Linked DNA regions of Notamacropus eugenii. The protein of the gene in region 1 interacts with the protein of each later gene in a pairwise test. Links are inferred from orthologs where the notes say so. Each region holds a gene or a part of one and is shown on either strand. Other genes may lie near its edges.

Region 1 (10,786 bases):
CATCCTGCCTCAGATATTTCCTAGCTGTGTGACCCTACAGAAGCCATGGGCCTTCTGTAAAATGGGGGTTTTGGACCAAATGACCTCTTCAATCCCTTCCACTTTCAAATCTAGGAGTCTATATGTTTTTCAATTTGACATTATCCAAGGAGACAACTGTATCATAATGGAAAGAGCATAGGATGGAGAGCTGAAAGACCTCCAGTTATGTCCCAGCTCTATTTCTAATGAGTTGTATCATCTGGGACATTCTAACCCTCTCTGGGCCTCAGTTTCCTCATCTGTAGATTGAGAAATCAAACTAGACACTCTCTAAGGCCCTTCTCAATTTTAAAATTATGGGAGCCTAAGAGTAGCTCTCTCTTCTTGTGCCAAGATCTTACCCTTATCTGGGGAGATCCCAGGAGGGCCCCCATCCTGTATCACAAAGTCAAGGAGAAAGAGCCTTCCCATGCTATACCAGAGGATGAGATTGAAGTTGAGATGGTGATGATAGCCCCAAGATAAAGGATCCAAATTGCATTAGCTACATCAGAGACAGGAAATGCAGAGAGGGACAGGCAAGAGGCCACGGAGGAGGACACTGCCCCTGGACGAAGATATGAGTGGGGAGAAGACCATGGGGTCAGGGGTTATAGGTTTAGAACTGAAAAAGACCTCAGAGATATTTTAGACCAGCCCCCTTCAAATCCATTCAATTCTCTTCCAGGGCTGTCTTGGTCATTCTAATTTCTTAGATACCATGCATCCACAAGCAAGGAAGCAGCTCTCTATTTGTTGACTGGCTAACATCTATCCTTTAATGAAAGGAACTACACCCTCCCTTCCACTCTAGCCCCATTACAAACTGAATGTCCTGATTTTCCCCAAGATGTGGGACTAGGCAGTGAACAACCAGCTTCTGAAAAGACCCTCCAGGGCTGACAAATGTCTGTGGCATTATATTGCTCAGGGGGCCATGGTGGTGTGCTCTCTCTCACTCTGTCTAGGGCAGTTCTGCTATGCCCAGGATAAGGTAAGAGACTCAGAGCTGGGAGAGACATCAGGCATCATCTAGTCTCCTCCTCAATTTACAAATGAGGAAACTGAGACCCTGAGAGGAAAAAGGGCTTGGCCAGGCAGTGGCTGAGTAAGAACCAAAGCCACGTCCAGCTGGATGCAGGTGAGCATTTTTGTTTGCTGGAGGTGGAGAAAGGGGAAGAAGAGATCACGATGGAGCATGGGGCTGGTGACACACAAAATAGGCTTCACTATTGGATGAAAGACCAGCTCCCGGGTGTTCCGGTATCAGGCGGGCCAGAGGGGAGGGGCAGGGTGAAGTAGGACAATTTAAGAGAGCCCAGGGAAGCATTGACTTAGAAAAGCTTGTGGGGAATTCAGAGCCTCTTCATTCTCATTACCCCTCTGGCTGTTATTTCGAGGGGTCTCTGGAGAGAGATAAAGCTGCCTCCCACTGCCCCGCCCATCCATCACTCCTTGGGAAGAGCTCTCAGCCCCAGACAAGCTCATCATTCTCTTCCTCAACAAGATTTCTTACACTAGCTTGGGCAGGCCAGGACCTCCTCAGCTCTGGCCCTCCAGGCTGAGCAAACCTGGAGGTACAGGGAAAAGGTGGATCAAGATTCTGGGGTTCAAGGGTAGAAAAGATCAAAAGACCTAGAGTCAGATGAGACCTGGGTCTGAGTCTTGCCATTGGCACTCACTCAGTTTCTTCATCCATAAAATGGGAATAGCAAAAACTAATCTTACTCACAGGGGCATTGTGAGGTAGAAATGACACCACAGGATCCTGAAGAGACTCTGGAGGTCCCCTAGTCCAAGCCCTTCATTTGACAAAGGAGAAGTTAAAAGCCATTTATAAGGTCGTACAAATCAAAACTGGCAAAGCTGAGCTAGTATTAGAACTCAGGTCATCTCACTCCGAAAGTAATATAGGTAAAGCAGTCCAGAAACTTCAAGGTCCAGTAATGGATGTGTATAGCTTCCTTTTTCTCCCCACATTTGTTTTTATTTATGAAATAAAAGAAGCATTTCCATAACATAGTATAATAAAAAGATGATTGCATACGAAGTGCAAATATATTGTGTATTGCTATTCCTTTTAAATATATAATGATCACGTAAATTTCTTTTTTATTTTTTTCCCTTCCCCACCCTAGAGATAATTATCATTAGACACAAATATATATATGTGTGTGTGTGTGTGTATACATATATACATACATATATACATACATATATGTATGTAAATTATTCTATACTTCTTTTTGTTTCTGTTCAGTCACTTTTCATTCTTATCTGACTCTGTGGCCCCATTTGGGGTTTTCTTGGCAAAGCTACTGGATTGGTTTGGCATTTCTTTCTCCAGATCCTTTATAGATGAGGAAACTAAGGCAAACAGGATTAAGCGATTTGCTCAGTGACATATACTTAGTAAGTGTCTAAGGCTGTATTTGAACTCAGTGGACAGAATGCTGGGCCTGGAATGGGAAAGACTCATCTTCCTGAGTTTCCAGGTTTTTCTTCAGAGCTTTATCTTTTCCATTGTGTTATTGCTTAAGTCATTCTCCTAGTTCTGTTCACTTCACTTTGCATCTGTCCATAAAAGTCTTCCTAGATTTTCCTGAAACCATCTCTTCATTTCTCACAGCACAATCGTACTCCATCACATTCAAATACTGTAACTTGTTCAGTCATTCCGGAGTTGAAGAGCATTCCCTCAGTTTCTAATTTTTTGCTGTCACAGAAAGAGCTGCTATAAATGTTTTTGCATGTTTGGTTCTTTTTCTTCTTTCTTTAATCTTTTCGAGGTATGGAATGAGTAGCAGAATTGCTGAATCAAAGGGTATGCAACATTAACATATGTAGCAACATTTGGAGCAGAGTTCCAAATTTGGGCCTATGTAAGACACAGTGCCTAGTATATGGTAAGCGCTTAATAGAGCTTGTTGACTAACTGACCTGTGGAGCAACTACCAGACAACTGAAGGGAGTTTATAATCAATTGATGGAGTTATGGTCAACAAGGGCTGTAAGAGGTCAGAGAAAGGTGGGGTCAGTGTAGCCTAGAGAGGTGAGAGAAGCACTCCTGGAGAGTCAGGACATGAACTTGGCCTCACAGGATAAGCAGGATTCAGAGCAGATAAAGGTGCATCCTAGATCATGGAATCATTCCAAGACTCCAAGAGGACTCATGTAGATAGTGAGGAGACTGACCTGGTGAAAATGGAACATTTATATTGGTGAGTAGCTATGGTTGGACCTCAGTTTTACAATCAATAAAATAGAAAGAATTTCATCTACCTATTTTTTTAGTTAGGCTATGGGTATCAAATGAAAAAATTTAGGGAAGAGAGGGACCTTAGAGACCATCTAACCCAACCCCTTCATTTCTCTGATGAGGTCACAAGGTCATATAAACAACAAACAAGCAAGCCAGGATTTGAATTCAATCCTTCTACACCAAGTCCAGGACTCTTGTCATTATATGACACTCTAAGTCTTTGAAATAAACTCATGGATGGGAAATGATGGGAGGGATAAATTACTAAAGTAAAAGCTCTCTAGCAGCCCCTATATTTATGTTGTCCAGGTAACCCAGTCCTATTCTTCTGTTCAATATTAGTTTCTATTGTCCCCATTTTCCCTGTAGATCCTGAGAACACAGGAGTAGTGCAAAGCTGGCAGATGATTGGATCAGAGAGGTACAGGAAGACTGGCTGCTCCCAAATATCTTCTTTACCAACTGCCTTCTGTTCCTGGAGAGGGGCGGGAAGAGGGAGAGGAGAGGATATTTTATGTTTGTTTATAAATTCTATTTTATTTTATTTTCAGTTCCAAATGTGTTTCTTTCCCTCCTCCTCCCCCACCATTGAGAACAAGACAGAAGCATCTACCATTCTTTGACCTCTGAGTTTTAAATTTAAAATAAGCAAATATTACATGGGGTAGAAAAATATATAGTTATTATCAGTCCTTAACAACTTGGCTGGACTTAGTTCATCAGATTAACCAAAGCTAAAAGCTAAGCCCTGTATCCTTGGAACACAATCTGAAAAGGTTTAGGAGAAGAATGGAATGGGAGAGATGAGAGGGAGAATGAGGAGAAAGGAAGAAGGAAAAAGTCTTGGGGTCCAGTCAGGAGTGGGCCTGGGGAAGTTGAGGGGTAGCAGCAGGCAGATACTGGAGCCATCAGGTTAAAAGGAAAAATGGAATGGAAAGTGGAAAGCAAATCACCTATTTCCTGGTTCCCAGTAGGGCAACTCTTGTTCCCATTGATCCATGGACCAGGGAAACTTTGCTGAGAAATTCCTCTCTGCTTATTGATACTGAGTAGAGAAGGAAGGAAGGGAAAGGGTAAGGGATTAAGTAGGACTCGCAAAACCAGAGAACAGTGTCTGAGCAGAAGGCAGATCCTTGTCTCCTTGATTAACAGCATCAGTCTGGTCCCCCTCAGACTGTTAAAAGCCCTGCTGGTGGGAACATAGCTCTCTGCTGGATAAGCAACTGGACCTTTGACTTTCCTAATGGGCCAGCCCTGTGACCCCAAAGAAGAGAAGGTGTAGGCAGAGTTAGCCTTTAGAAGCTAGCCATTCTTCCCTGAGTAGTCTGGACATAACATCTGGATGTTGTCGCTGTTTGTCCTTCATTCTCAGAGGACCATGACACCAGGAAAGTGATGCTGTGACTTGCAAATGAATTGGATTTAAGTGACAAGGGCTGTGCACCAGCTTCACTTTCTCCTCCACAGACTTCTAGGTCCAGTGGTCAGATATAAATCAGATAGCCCCCATCAGGATGGGGAAGAGAGTCATTGGAAGGTCTCATCCTTCTGAGGAAATATCAACAAACATAGAATCATGGGCCGAATCAGCACGATTTGCCTATAGGGAATGAGTGAGAGTGGGGAGTTCAAGAGCACTCCAAGGTTGGTGTGGATCTCACCCTTGTTACTGGAAGATTATTAGCACCACCTCAGAAGAAAATAGGAATCTAAGAGGAAAGGGAAAGTGGTGGGGAGTGGGAGTGGGAGGGGGGCAATATATTTTGTACTTCTCGAGTTTGAAGTACCTATAGGACATCTAGGGGCACATATCCAGCAAGGAGTTGGAGATGCTGGACCGCAGCATTTAAAGCTCTTCCTGAGCTGCCTCCTCCTTTTCCAGACTTCTTACACCTTATTCCCTTACTTCCCCATCCCTTCACTTTGTCTGAGATCCAATGACACTGATCTCCTGTCTATTCCTCAGACTGGCCACCCCCCCCACCCCATACCTGGAACATACTCTCTCTGTATCTCTATCTTCTAGACTCCCTGAATTCTTTTGATGCTCAGTTGAAGTCCTATGTTCTACAAGAACTTAATATTAATCTTAATGTCTATCAAGAAAAATCTTCCTGAGCTCACATCCAGCCTCAGATGCTTACTAGTTGGGTGATCCTGGGAGAGTCACTTCATCCTGTTTGCCTCAGTTTCCTCATCTGTAAAACGAGCTGGAGAAGGAAATGGCAGACTGCTCAGTATCTTGGTCAAGAAAATCCCAAATGGGGTCATGGAGAGTCAGACATGACTAAAATGATTGAACATGCACAATTCCCTTTGAGGTTACCCCCAGTTTCTATCTTATTTGTACCTAACTTATTGGCTTGTCTCCTCCATTAGGCTGTGAGCTACATGAGAACAGTCATTTTTTTAACCTTTCTTTGTATCCTCAGTGCTTAGCAGAATGCCTGGCATATTGTGAGCACTTAATAAACTCTAATCGACTAAATGAAATTCAAGAAAATGATGAGAGCTTACTTTGTAGATATTAGAGGCATCTGCGTAGAAGGAAAGAGAAAGGAACCTACTATGTGCCAAGCACTCTACAAACATTATCTCATGACCCTCACAATAACCCTAGGAGGTGGGGGCTATTATTACTCCCATTTTATAGATGAGGAAACTGAGGCAGACAGAGGTGAGGTGACTTGCCTACAGTCACACAACTATGAAGTGTTTGAGGCAGGATTTGGACTCAGGTCTTTCTGACTCCAGGCCTGGTGCTCTATCCACTAGGCCACTAGCTGATGGTTGAGTCCATGGGGCCTAAGGAAGTCACCAATGGAAACTATAGAAAGGAGAAAAGTGAACCCTGATGTTCCTGTTCACCTGGGGGCTGGGCCATGGATGATGAGCCTGTGGGGGAGATTGAGGGGATTGGTCAGATAGGTAAGAAGGAGGGTCATAAAAACCTAGGGAGGAGAGAGGGGCCCAAAAGCATCAAATGCTCCAGAGAAGTGAGAAATCAAAATAAGTCAGACATATGCATTGATTTTGCTTCCCCAGCCCAAATATAAACTTCCGAAGGGCCAGGAGACATCAGTCTTCTTATTAATTCTCCAACATCACTAGCAAGTGGTCACCCCAATTCTCCTTAAAGATCTTGGTAACAGGGAACTCACTACTTCCTAAGGAAAAGCAGCTCCTCTTTTGGTCAGTGATAATTGGAAGAAAGTTCTTCCTTCTATTAAGCTGATCTCTGCTCCCCTGTCCTCTCTTCCCATATTCCCATCTCCCTCAATTTCTATCCTTTGCTTCCAATTCTGCCTTGGGCAAAGCAGAGTAACTCTGATCCTTCTTTCATATAACTACCTTCAAGAGTGAACTCATCTGTACAAATAAGGGGGCTTGAATGGAGGACTACCAACTCTAGGACTCTAACATCAAATATTAACAACTTACAAGTCTATGAGTGGGTGGTTTCCCTGTGCTCTCATTTACCTCTGACATCACATAGCATCACTATGGCAACAGAACCAACCCCCAACCCCTCAGGGGAGGGAAGAGTAGGTTCCCCAGATCTCCGTGAGAGCAGGGAGACAGTGTCACCCCTTGTCATTCATGGGGGGACGTAAAGACTAAGGATGCTTGGCTACTGACCCTGCCATACCCCCCCCCATTGACTGCCATGTCTGTGGCCCCTGATGGCATTGCCAGACCTGGAATGCCCCTACACTAAGGAAGACATCCAGCCACAGTTCTGCCACGTCCACCGCTGTCTCTGGCCACCAGAGCCCAGTGGACCACACAGCCTCTAGCTATTGCTCAAACCTACCTCAGGGGATGTCCGTGCCTGTGTCATTGCTCCACAGACTTGGAGACATCTGTGCCAATTCCCAGGTGGAGTGGGACTGATTCTAGTTGACCCAGAAGTGCCAGACATTAGCACGCAAGATTATTAATTGAGCAGGAATCCAACAAGAAAGCTTCTACTCTGAAAGAGAATGGGATGGAGCAAGAAAAGGGTAAGCCTATTATCCATTAGTTCTGTGAGTTTCAGTTTTTCACTTCCCCACTATAAGCCTCAGTTTTCTTATCTGTAAAATGGAAGAGACAACAGATAACTGTACCCATCTGGTTCTAATATCCTACCAATCCAATGTGTGCCTAATACAATAGGGTGGTCTAACTTTCAAGTAGCAAAATCATAGGGCCAGAAAAGTATCTAGAGAATTTCCCCAACTCCCTTTTCTAGCCTAGGATTGAAGAACTCAGGCAACAAATAAGTCTTTACTGAGCACTTCCTATGTGCCAGGCACTATGTGAAATGCTGGGAATATACATACAAGCAAAAAGTAAGACAATCCTTGTTCTGGAGGACCTTACATTTTTTTAAATTTAAATTTTCAGTTCCAAATTCTCTTCCTCTCCACCCCTCCCCCACTCATTGAGAAGGTAAGATATACAACACTCATTATACATATAAAGTCATGCAAAGTAATTTCACATTAGACATGTTGCAAAAAAGAAAAAAAGCAAGAAAAATAAATTAAGAAAAAATATGCTTCCATCTGAACTCTGAGACCATCATTCCTCTGTCTGGAGATGGATGGCATTTTTCATAATGAATCCTTTTAAATTGTTGTGGATTATTTTATTGATCAGAGTAGCTAAGTCTTTCACAGTGAATTATTGTCACAATATTGCTGTTACTATGGGCACTGTTTTCCTGGTTCTGCTTACTTCCCTTTGTATCAGTTTATGTAAGTCTTCTCAGATATTTTCTGAAACCATTTCCTTCATCATTTCTTACAGCACAATAGTATTCCATCACAATCACATACCACAACTTGTTCATTCATTCTCTGAGCATCCTCTCACCTTCCAGTTCTTTGCCACTACAAAAAGAGCTGCTATAAATATTTTTGTGCATGTGGGTCTTTTTCCTTTTTTCTTAGATCTTTTTGGGATACAGACCTAATAGCTGCTTCAAAGGATTTTATAGATCTCTATAGATCCCAAATTGTTCTCCAGAATGGCTGGATCAGTTCACAACTCCACCAAGAGTATATTAGTGTCTCTGTTTTTCCACCTCCTTCCAGCATCTGTCATACGCCTTTGCTGTCAAAATTAGCCAATCTGATAGGTGTGACATAGTACCTCAGAGTTGTTTTAATATGCCTTTCTCTAATTGTTAGCGATTTAGAGGATTTTTTCAGAAGACTATAGATAGTTTTGATTTCTTCTTCTGAAAACTGCTTGTTCATATCCTTTGATCATTTATCAATTGGAGAATGGTTTCTTGTTTTTATAAATTTGACTCAGCTCCCTATATATTTGAGAAATTAGACCTTTATCAGAGAAATTTGCTGTTAACAAATTTCTTCCCAGTCTCTTGCTTTCAGTGTCTACATTGGTTTTATTTGTGCAAAACTTTTTTATTTAATATAAACAAAATTATCCATTTTATCTCCTTTGATCCTCTCTGTCTCTTTTTTGGTCATGAATTCTTTCCTTATCATAGCTATAACAGGTAATTTTTTTGTATTCCTCTTATTTGCTTATGGTATCAACCATTATGTCCAAATCATGTCCCCATTTTGAGTTTATCTTCATATATAGAGTGAGATGTTGGTCTATGCCTATTTCTGTCATTCTGCTTTCCAGTTTTCCCAGCAGTTTTTGTCAAAGTGAGTTCTTGCTCTAATGGCTGGGATCTTTGTGTATATCAAACACTAGATTATTATGGTTGTTTATTTTTGTATATTATGGACCTAATTTATTCCATCAATCAGCCACTCTATTTTTTTCTTAGTACCAGATTGTTTTGATGATAATCACTTTGTAGTACAGTTTGAGAGCTAGTATTGCTAGGCTCCCTTCCTTCATTTTTTCATTGATTCTCTTGATATCCTGAAACTTTTGCGCCTCCAGATGAATTTTGTTATTTTTTCTAGCTCTTTACAATAATTCTTTGATAGTTTGATTGGCATGATATTGAATAAGCAAATTAATTTAGGTAACTGTCATTTTTATAGTACTGCTCAGGCTACCCACAAACAATTAATATTTCTTCAATTATTTGGATTTGTCTTTATCCGTATGAAGAATGTTTTGTAATTGTGTTCATATGAGTTCCTATGTGTGTCTTGGCAGGTATATTCCCAAGTGTTTTCTACTGTCTACAGCTAATTTTAAATGGAATTTCTCTTTTTATCTCTTCCTGTTGGGTTTTATTGACATTATGCAACTCTACCTCACTTAAATCCAGTTTGTGCACTGGTCAAGACATCACCCCATGGTGTCATTGGTCTTCTTTGAAAGCAAAGGACCAGCAACAGATAGATACTACTTATCATTTTTTAAAAAAAGCTCCATTTATTCCTATGCTTTCTGTTGTTTTTAATGGGAATGGAGGTTGCATTTTGTCAAAAGCTTTTCTTACATCTATTGACATATGATTTTTTTGTTGTTTTTATTATTAATATGGTCAATTATGCTTATAATTTTCTCAATACTAAACTTTTCTGGGAGTTTACATTCTAAAAGACAACATACAAAGAGGAGCTGAGAAGCTGGGTCATGTGGGGAGAGGAGGTTCCCAGCTAGCCCATGATCTCATACTGGCCCATACTTCTCCAATTTTGTCACCTGCATAAGTCTTCTCTCTCTAGCTAGGCTATGAGGTCCCTAAGGAAAGAGATCCTGGTCTTCCTCTCTGCTGATGAGCTCAGTGCATGGGAGTCACTGGGATGAGACTGATTGATGCTAACTGGAAATTCCGGTTATGATGCAGTGTGAGGGAAAACATTTATCAAGTGCCTGCTATGTGTACTTCAAATGAGTTACAAATATATAATTTGATTATCGTAAATTGAGGATAATAATATTGATTGTATCTTCCACACAGAGTTTTTGAGAGGTTCAGATGGGTTCTTGTTTATTTAGAGGCAGCATGGTATAAAGCAGATAGAAGGCTGGACTTAGGAGTTGGGAAGTACTGGGTTCGAATCCCATCTCAGGAACTTACTAGCTGTGTGACCCTGGACGAGTCCTCTCTCTTGGGTAGTTGTAGATAACAGGTGGACTACTGCCTATGAGGCTTTGTAAACCTTCCAGAGCTATGCTAATGAAAATAACTAGCCCTGAAGGGGTTATTTATTATATATCAGTATATATGCATATATATGTATGCATGTGAGTATATATATATATATAGTACATACGTACATATGTACATATTTATGACAGCCCTTTGGTACCTGAGTTTCATCTATTTCTGGCATTCATGCAAATGCTTAACATCAAGATGGATTTTCTCAAAGGTAATTATACAGTTAAGGGTCCAATTTTTCTTCTCTTCTCACCTCCAGAAATCTGTTTGTTACACATGCAAACAAGCCAAGCAATTACTCTAGTGTTGATTCATGCCGTGTTCAAATTTCATAATTTCTGGAAGGCTTTCATTGGGGGGAGGAGTGGGGGACTCTCACCATGGAGACAGCTAATCAACACTTCCCAATG
Region 2 (10,400 bases), on another chromosome or scaffold:
GTATCTGATTTGTTCCTTATATTAACCTGGGGAAGGAGGTGCTGTTATTATCCCTGTTTTACAGATGAGGATAGGTTAAGTGAGTTACTCAGGGTCTGAGGTGGGATCTGCACCCAGGTCTTCCTGTTTCTAAGTCTAGTGCTTTCTACCACACAGCCACATAAAATGGAATTTTAAAGGTCCTCTTCCTCCTCAGATTGTGCCTCTGGCTTCAGCTCCTCCATCTGTATGATGCTCCAGTAAGATCAGAGTTCTCTTTGGTGACCTGACAAAGGCTGTGCCAGTGGAGCCTAAGATTTGGCAAGTCCCAGTAATCTAGAAATGCTGAGTAATAATAGCAACAATGGATATATATATGTTGCTTAAAGCATTGTCTCGATGGGCCCAGTCTGTCTGTTTCTGAAGGCAAGCCTACATAGGTGTGGAGAGGCTCACTCCCAGAAGACTGGCCACCATTCACCAAGACTGTCCCCCAGGACACATGCCAGGGGTTGGGGTCTGTATCAGGGGAAGAGCTGACCACAACCATAGTGTCATGGCTCCTTTTGAAGTACTGAGGTCAGAATATTAAGCTTTTCTCGTGCCCTTTTCATTTACACTTCGGGGAGCCACTTTCCTTTGTCCTTGCCACTCTCCAGCCCTAGTCCTGTCACCCTCTCCCAACATCACTCTCACTACTGAGCTCATCCACTCTTTTCACCAGGAAATTCTGTTCCTTGTTTTAGGTCCATCGCTCCAATCGACCAATCATTTGCAAGGGTTGCCGGAGAACCTTCACAAGCAGCCTGTCTCAGGGACTGCGGAGGTTTGGTTTATGTGACAGCTGTACATGTATTACGAATCCACAAGATGACCCAGTACCTATCAACCTGAGCCAGATGGAGGCATCCTCTGAGGGGCAGGAGAAGGGTGATACAGACAGTGAATGGCCAATATATGTGGAGTCTGGGGAAGAAAACGATCCCACTGGAGATGATTCCGATGATAAACGTCAACTGCATCGAAGCCTTCTGGACCGAGAGGCACTGATGTAGCAATAAATGGGGAGGAGGATTTTTAATGTCCTCCTTATGACTGGTCATTCCATGGACTCAGTTTTATGGAACCCTAAGAGGATTTTTTTTTTTTTAAACGATGACCACATTTACATTTTTGATAGAACACAAGGCAGGGGTTGGCTTTTGTGATTCTGAAATGTTTCTTCACTCTTCAGTGCTGTGCACTATAATTTTGAGGTATTTCTATCAACCAATTTCTCATTCTGGTCAAGCTGTGGCTGTGTTTTTCAGCTCCCTTTTCTCACTGCTGTGGGTTTGAATCCTGACTGGGAGAGAAGGTGGTTCTCTTTGTAGGTAGGAAAGAATTTCCTTATTTGTTTTCCTATTTCTCTCCCCAGGGAGCTACCAGAACCTCTGACCCTCCCTCTCTTACATACATATATGAACACACATACACCCCCTCCCCCCACACACACACTTTTGATCCTGCAACTACTACATTTTTTCTGAGAAAAGATGGCTAAGAGGATATTTTACTTTGGGCCTAATTTGGAGTTTAGCCAAAATGTTCAACTGTGACTCTCTTTTGATGGTGCTTCCATCAAAGAGGGGTTTTTTCAATTCAGATACTGTGAATTCTAAATTTTATTTTAGTGTAAGGGTTTAAATGAGGAGTTAATTCTGAAAACCAGTAAAACACTTGAATGTAAAATAAGACGTCTATCCAGAGGTGATGGACAAGGAAGCTCTGTGACAGATATCTAAGTCTCCTCCCAACTCTAAGATTCCAGGATTCTATGATCTCAAGATTTGAAAGTTCCAAGATGCCAGCATCTAAGGACTTGGTGGCTCCAGGATTCCCTTTTTCAAGTTTTCAGAGGAATCTAAAATTCTAGGACTCAAGAGTCTGTAATATGTTGATTAAGTAGGTAAGCATGGAAAGCACATAATAAACTCAGAAGACACTGATAGCAATTTTTCATAATAAATCAAAGGGCTGTCCTGCTCCCTCTCTGAGGACGCACTATAAAGTGAGCCTTACATGGCCGGTAGCAGAGCCCCTGTGGCAGCTCACCGAATGTTAAATCTGAGTGGAATCTTAAAGATGATTGAGTCCAAACCCCTCATTTTACAGGTGAGGAAACTGAAACCCTAATGGTCAAATGGTTTGTCCCGAATCATACAAGGGATCAGTGATAGAACTCTTCCAGCCTTTGAAGTTCAGTGGCGCCCCCCACCTAGCACATGTTTTGTGATTCCAGAAGCATTCCACAGGGTCATAGATGTCTAGTCCATTTTACAGAAAAATCTTGAGTCCCAGAGATTATGTTACGGGGGTTCAAACCCAATGACTCTAACGCCAAGCTAGCATTCCAATAGAATGTTAGAACAGAAGCGTAAAAAGCAAGTTTTAGTGTCCTGTCCCCATGATCTTTTCAAAGCTTCCACAAGGGACATAGGGAGGCACACAGGGTGAAGAGAAATGCTTGTGAGATCCACTATATTCTTCCACCCTCTTTGCAGTCTTCTTGGGGCTCTGGTGAATATGGCTATTTAGAGGATTAAGGAAATCTTGGGTAATAAAGCCGTCTTTTTAATTGGGCACACTGGTTAAATTTACATTGTGGCCTGATTCTTTGCCTTCTCTTAAGGTATAAATGTGTTTTCCTGAAGGTAGTACAGTAATTTTGTTCTCAGCCTCCTGAGTACATAATTGACTGTATGCCTTATGGAATTAGCTAGGAGCCTAGAAATGATTTATTGGTAAATTACTTTGAACCAGCAAGTCACTGCAAAGAGGTTAGTACAGTATGGGCTTAAATAGCTAGCCAAAGAAAGAGCCAGATTTATGGCTGTTGGAAGAAAAAATTGGAGTGAGGTTTACTATTAAAAAATGAGTCAATGCTAGAAACATTTTCCTTAATATAAAAAACCGGGCACTCTTTCCTGTTGTTTTAAAGGAGAGATCTTAATAGGAGAGATCTTAATAAGACAGAGAAACCCTAAATTTTTGGTGTTGGAGGGATATACAGAAAGCAGTTTTCAGTGATTAAACTTTAAATGTTTGAGATTTTTCTACCTCGCAGTCTAGCTTTTGCACCTATATAAGATCACAGTCCTGTTTGGGACCTTATAACCTGTCTGTATTCCTCAGCATAAAAACATAAATGCCCATTGGGGACTTCTCTATAAGATCCAGTAGGATGGGGAATACATCCTAGAAATGGAAGAATGTCAGTAGTTCATCCTTTTCATACCCTGTATTCCAGAATCAAGAATGCTTGACACACCCTCCCTAATTCCACCCTTCTAAAGCCTTGGGAAGTGGCTGGCTTCCCTTTTTTGCAAAGGTATAGATGGCAGGTAACTAGCCCAAGGTGATAGTTCATTTCAGGTGAAGAAGAAGAATTGAAGAAATCCAGGCTTTGAGGTGTATCCTCAGCCCAGTAAATGGATCATTACTGAATTTGAAAGTAGCAGAGTGGCTTGGAGAAAATGGGATGTGAAATTTCATCCTTGAAAGATTTCCCCAGGATAGAGGACCTTTCCATAATAATGTTTCAACCTATTATGGTCATAGATGGCCCATTATTTCCCCTTCATCTCAATTCTGGAGAGTAATATCCTCACTAGAAACAGTGGCATTCGTGATTATACTCAGCTCACTGGGTTCTGTCATCTTGCTGGAGGAGGTGTGTTTTTTTATGTGCAGTATCAGTTCGTAAACTAAATGTCTATTTATTTTGAATTACTGTCCACATAGGAGATATTTCTGAGCTTTTGTTATTGCCTCTGAACTGTCATTCAATGGAGCTGGTAATGTTTTTATAAGCAGTAAATTCACAGCTGTGCCAGTAGTAATTGAGATTTTGTGTCCCACAGGGAAGTCTTGATGAACCCTTTTCTTTCTGTACATTCAATCCAAGTTCCCCAAGAAATTAAAAAGAAACCTGGAATTGTAGAAATTATGAGCAGAGGAGAAGAAGGAGGATTTGCGTGTGTAATGGAATTTGAAGTGGGGTCCATGGATAGTGGGGACAGGCCTTCCTCATGATGGAGGTGGGGTGGGTGGGTTTGGAATGTAAATACAGATTAGTTGTAGTAGGCTAAGGAATCCTACTGTCTGGTCATTTGGCCAAGAGTTGCTGCTCGGTGTAAATATATGAGTGGTCACTAGACACTGAACATTCTTAGTGAGGTGCTGATCCATGGTCCACAGTTCTACTGTAGAATGAAAACTTCTGGCCATCCTAGGTCATGTCAAACTTAACATGGAGAACGTCCTGGAAATATGGTGCAGTCATACCCAACTCACAAGGGGAGGAGAGAACAGGCAGAAAGGCCTACATACAATGAAGCCAAGACTAGATACAGGAATAAGCCTATCAGACCATTCAGATGACTTTATTTGGGCCTAGAGATTTCCTTGTGTAGAGAGAATAGGATTATCCTTGTGAAATCCTCTGGGGATGCTGGGGCCTTTAAAGGGTTAGGTTAAGAGAAACATTCCCAGGGCACTCTGAGCAGAGAGTCCTATAGCCCTGGGGGCTTGGCTAGGTTGGCCTTTCATTTTCCTGCAGAGTTCATCATCCCATTTGGAAAATTATGCACTTTACTATTTTGTTTGGCCCAGGCCATGTTTGCATTGATTTGTTTCCTTGTACTGTTTGGTCAATCTACCAAGTTCTCTTGCTGTTAGCCAAGTTCTACTGCACCTCCTTTATAGGGCTGAAAAGACATCCTCCTTCTCACATGGCACTTTCTGAGGAAGAAGGAAAACCACTTTGAGTATAGGTAGATTGCTTTGTGTCTAATATGCCCTTTTCTGAGGAGATAGCAAAGAAAACCCTTTCTATTTGGGCACCTTCAAGTGGCAAATGAAAAGCATGGTATTTTCCCAAGGACAGAGAGGCAGCTAAGTAGTACAGTAGACTTGTAGTCAGAAAAAACTGAGTTCATATCCTGTCTCAGCCTTCAGCTGTGTGATGCTAGACAAGTATTTTAACTGCCCTCAATCTTTGTTTCCACATCTGTAAAATAGGAACATAAGTGTACCTACTTTATACGGTTGCTGTGAGGATGAAATAACATGAAAAGTGCTTTGCACACTTTATAAATGTCCTATGTAAATGTTAGCTTTATCATTATCAACATTCACAGTGGACATTTAAGGGTGAGTAAGCATTGTATAGGTAAAGACATTGGACTCAAAATAGCACGACCTGGGTCTCGTGGTTCTTAACTGGATGGTTATGGAGGAGTTGTTTTCTCTGTCTGGATCTAAGTTTCATCATTAGAAAGAGAGAGTAGGCTTTTTCTTTTTGAACCCGGAAGAATAAAAGCGAAGGCAACGAGGAAAAGGTACAAAGAAGCCAGTGTAAGAAATGCTGTCAGGAAACACTTCTAACAATAAGAGCTGTCCAGAAGTAAAACGGACTTCTTAGAGACAGGTGAGCTCCCCCTCCTTTTGGAGGGCTTTGGGCAGAGGTTAGATGATTACTTGTCTAGTATACTATACTGGAGATTCCTTTTTTCCCTTAAGTATAGGGTGGACCAGATGGCTACTGAGGTCCCTTCCAGCTCTTAAATTCTGTGGATCACTTGTAAAAAGCTCAGAGCAGTATTATCTGTTAGTACTCCCTACCTCCCGGGGTTGCTATGAGAAGGATGATTTTTATACTGCAAAGACTATAAAAATGTGACCCATTATTACCACTCTTGGTCTTCAGTACATTATAGAAATGAATTTTCTGCTGATTCAAGACTTAATTATCCGATGACCTTGAATAGTCATCAGATACCTTGCACTTAGTCATAGAATGTCAGAGCTAGGAGCCACTTGTTTGTTGTTCAGTCACGTCCACCTCTTCCTGCTTCCATTTGAGATTTTCTTGGCAGAGTGGTTTGCCATTTCCTTCTCCAGCTCATTTTACAGATGAAAAAATTCAGGCAAATTGGGTTAAGTGATTTGCCCAGGGTCACATAGCTAGTAAGTATCTGAGGCCAGATTTGAACTCAGGAAGATGAGACTTCCTTACTCCTATAGTGCTCTACATTGTACTACCTAGCTAGAGCCACTTAGGATATAATCATTTCTAAAAGGGAAATATTAGGGGCCATAAAAGGGAACACATTTTACAGTCACACAGCGCTACATGGTGGTAGAGCTGGGACGAGAATATATGTCTTCTGTGACTGCTAGTCTAGTGCTTCCCATCAAATTGTGTTGCTGTCACGTAAGTACATCAGTAAACTATTTTGGAAGGAGGTGGTCAGCCATTGTGCAGAGGAAAACATGACTGGGACCTCATGTGATTATATACACTTGTCTTGTGTTGGACATGGCCTGCCAACTTTAAAGTTGGACAAGAAGAGGTCAAGAATCAAATAATAGCTCACATTGCTATAGCACTTTGAGACTCCACTGTACTTTCCTCATAACAATCCTGTGAGTTAGGTAGTGAAAGCATTTTTGTTTTTTGTTTTGGATGAGACCTGTGATTTCATTGGTATAGAGATCAGCAACTGCTCTGTGACTTACACCTTTAGAGAACTACCTGGGGCACCAGGAAGGTAAGTGACTTGCCCAGGATCAAACAAAGAGTATCTGTTAGAGGCAGGATTTAATCCAGGTCTTCCTGACTTCCAAATGGGACCTCTGTCCACTCTCTCAATTTGGCACTGGTAAAAGTATCTTTATCTCGATTTTAGAGATGATGAAACTGAAGCCCAGAAGGATGAAGTGCCTTGCCTAAAGTCACTCAGGGCTGAGACTAGAATCCAAGAAATTCTGATTCTAGGACCAGTGTTATAGCTGTTGTGTCACACTATGCCCTTCAGTACCAGAAAGTTTATTTAGTTCTGTTGTGTTTGATGCACAGGCAGATCAACAACCAGAAAAGTCCAAGCTCTGAATGAAATAGGAATATTAGATCCAACGTGAACCATTTACTTTAAATGAGTATTGTGGGTTGTTGTTTGCATATATTCATGGTCTTGGTCTCCCCTGTGGAAAAAAATGGTGAAATAAGATCCTCAAATTTCCCTTGTGACAACATTACAGGATGAACCCAGTACTCATTGAGAAACGTTAATTGTGCATGATTCAAGAGACTGGGTGGGGCTGTCTTGTTTGAAGCTAAGAAAAAATGACCAGTCATCTTCACTAGCCAATATCTCCCATGTTATTACTGTGTCTAAAATAAAAATGTATCTCCAGTGTTTGGGATCTTAGTGCATCTGAAGGACAGCATCTTTGACAGCATCCTTTATCTAAGTTTTTCTAAAAGGCCTTTATAGTAGTTGCTTCGACTATCAGTGAAAAATGAATGTCTGTTTTTATTACTTACTCCTCCTTCCTCTCTCCCCAAGGAGTATTCCATGTGTTAGTCAGAAGAAAATTCTATCTATTCTAAGATAAAAATGAATCTGGGGCCAGCAAGGGTCCAAATTAGCATCTCATTTAGAAAATGAGCTTGGGAAGAAAAGGGGATGATACCTAAGGTACCATTATTCCTGCTTGGCTTATGCTGAATCACATTATGAAGCCGAAACAAAAAGCTTAGAATGAAAACATCTCTAGCCTTTAGCATAAAAAGACTTTCGTTATCTTATTTGGCAATGTATTCTCAAAAGCCAGTCTGGGTACAGGAATGTCCTGTCCCTTCTAGTACATGTAGTAACTCAAGTAGATCATTGGAAAGCTTGGGCTGAGTAAGGAACTTTCCCATTTTTGGCAGGATCACAGGTTTAGAGCAGGCAGGAATCCTTGGGCTCACCTACAAGGGAGCCCCTTGTTTAAGAGATGAGGAAACTGGGCCCAAAGAAGTGAATGACTTGCCCAAAGTTACACAGATATTAAGTGGCAGATATGGGATTTGAACTCAGCTCTTTTGACCCTACATCTAATACTTTTTTTACCTGGACCGTACTGCTTCCATTGTAAACAAGTTCCATGGGAAAGCTGTGCGACCCTGTACTTACCACTGAGTGACAGTGTTGTTTTTGTGGTACTTGGTGCTGTCTGTAACGTTCTGCCTTAGCAGCATTTCCCTAGAACTACTTTATCACCACACCAGTGGGGCTGGTAACATGTAAAGGGTTGCTTATGCACATTGTGAGTGTGAAATTATAGATTCTTTGCTCTTAGCTGCACATCTTTTGTTTACTTGGGCCTCATTCGTATTCAGGTTTTGGGTTTGATTTCCTGTAACTGAGATGAGGATGACACTTGCTTTATGGGAAAGACTAATGAATGTAAATCACTTTGCAAGCCTTAAGGCACTATATACATGCTGTCCTCCTCCTCCTCCTCATCACTATTATTAGCCTTTAGTTGAGGCAAAGCAACATATCACAAAATAGAATCATTCAGTCAATCAGCTAGCATTTATTAAGTGCCTTCTATGTGTTAGGCACTATATAAGCACTGCAGAGACAAAGAAAGGCAAAACCAACAAAAGACAGCCCTCACTCTCAAGGAGGTAACATGAAACATGAGACAACGTGCAAACAACTATATGTAATTGATATATCCAGGGTAAATTGGAGATGACTCAGAGGCAAGGCATTAAGATTAGGGAGGCATACAAATGGCTTCTTGCAGAAGGTGGGATTTTAGCTGAGACTTGAAAGAAGCCAAATGAAGGCTAGTTTTATGAACTGTACTTTGAAAAGAAAAATTATTGTATTATTCATATCTCTGTTCATGTCTTGGTCTCATGGTGTAAGAGACTACCAGTCTCCCTTTGGAGATGGAATTTTTGCTAATCTGTTTCTCCAATGAGGTGATTAGAGATTTTGATTGAAGATGGCAGCTTACTTCTTTGGCAATACAGTGTGTAATAATAGAAACAGTAACTGTGGTAGATGATCCAGAAACCTGAGGAAGAACTTAGAGCCACAGTTGCAGATCTCTGGACCATGACAGCTCTGCATTTCCTATAAACCATCTAAAGGAAAAGGAAACTGACATCCAGTCTGACATCCAGTGAGTTGGCCAGTTCTTCTGATAGATAAATGCATTTGCGGAAGGGAGCTGAAGACATTAGAAGGCAAAACACACCAAAGCTGTAAATGATCTGGACTATCAGAAAGCAGCAAGAGGCACCTTTCCCTCAACAGGATGGGGAATAATCTACGGTGGTGCATTCCTAGGTTGGTCTATACTGTAATGTTTTTAATGTACTTGATCTGTGCCTATTGTTATTATGTGATCTAATTCTGTTTTGTTTTTTACTGTGGAAAAAAATACAAAGTGGAATAAATGACTTAGCTGGACAAGAGAATTTGGGTCTATCCTTCCCTTCTTTCTCCCTCAAACTATACTTCGGGTACTGTATTGTTTTAGAAAATGAATTTTTTTGGGGGGGCTAAATGCCAGCATGTAACATTCAATTTCTTGTGGACAGGAACATGTTCAGTTTGGTACCAACAAACCAATGACCCAAATGCATATTTGATGATTTGGACTGGTTTTTATTTCAGGATGGTCGATTAAATAATAGTTCATCCAAAAAAGATCTGGTGGGGGTTAGTGGATTGCAAGTTCAATTTGAATCATGAGTGAAATACAGTAGCCAAGAATGCTAATGCAATCTTTGACAGTGTAAAGAGAGGAAAGATTTCCTGGAGTAAGGAAGTAACAATTCTGTGGCACTTTGCTCTTGTCAAATAAAAGTGGTATGTCTTATTCTGTGTGCTACCACAGTATAGGAATGACTCTGAGGGCAGCTAAGATGAAAGGTTTTGAGTTTATGTCATATGATGATCTTTTGAAAGATGGAGAAGACTTAGTAGGGACCTGACGGTTGTCTTCAAGGAGGTGAGGTATTGTTATAGTAGAAATAGAAATTTCTGTGTGATTCATCTTGTAACTCTGACTTGTGACACAGTTTTAATTTGCTATGGAAACTTAGCAGCTGGGTTGCTGATCTCCTTCCATTCCCCCTACACCAACCTTGGGCTTTCCTCACAATGTATCTTGATAAGAGAACATCTTCTTCCCTGTTTCTTGGTATAAGGCCCATGTTGTAACAAGATGTCCAAGGTCAGAATGCTGAGCAGGCATTTACTTTCCCTGCCCTGGGAGATAGACCCCTACTACCATGCAGATGGGTGTGGGAATATCCTTGAAAATCTTATAAAAACCCCATTCAAATTCCTAGCCAGTAGAACAATCACTGATAGTTCTTTGACATCATGTTTCTATCCTACCATCAGCTAATGCCCAGGGATCAGCTCTTTCTTCCCAGAGATATAACCTAATTCTCTGAGTGGGAACCTTTCCCCATATTCTCTATTCCTTCCTATTGAGTACCACTAATAAAGTCTCCTGTAATGTCTTTTGGAATTATTTCTTCCTGTCAGAATCTAACTGAACCAATTGGTTGGGAAATAAGT

What was found.
Region 2: the proteins of CCDC33 (region 1) and ZBTB8A interact in a two-hybrid assay, tested with the Homo sapiens proteins (2 studies listed by BioGRID and IntAct). The two-hybrid records come from large-scale screens. The link is inferred for Notamacropus eugenii from reciprocal best matches to the Homo sapiens genes CCDC33 and ZBTB8A.

The regions. Positions count from the first base shown.
Region 1 is NC_092872.1:242,198,016-242,208,801, reverse strand, and holds the start of CCDC33 (coiled-coil domain-containing protein 33), read left to right. Parts: upstream 1-6,783; 5' UTR 6,784-7,266; coding exon 7,267-7,287; intron 7,288-10,786.
Region 2 is NC_092876.1:77,435,065-77,445,464, reverse strand, and holds the start of ZBTB8A (zinc finger and BTB domain-containing protein 8A), read left to right. Parts: upstream 1-5,701; 5' UTR 5,702-9,123; coding exon 9,124-9,155; intron 9,156-10,400. Other genes in the region: ZBTB8B (zinc finger and BTB domain-containing protein 8B), read left to right, coding at 726-1,034. UniProt on the Homo sapiens protein: May be involved in transcriptional regulation.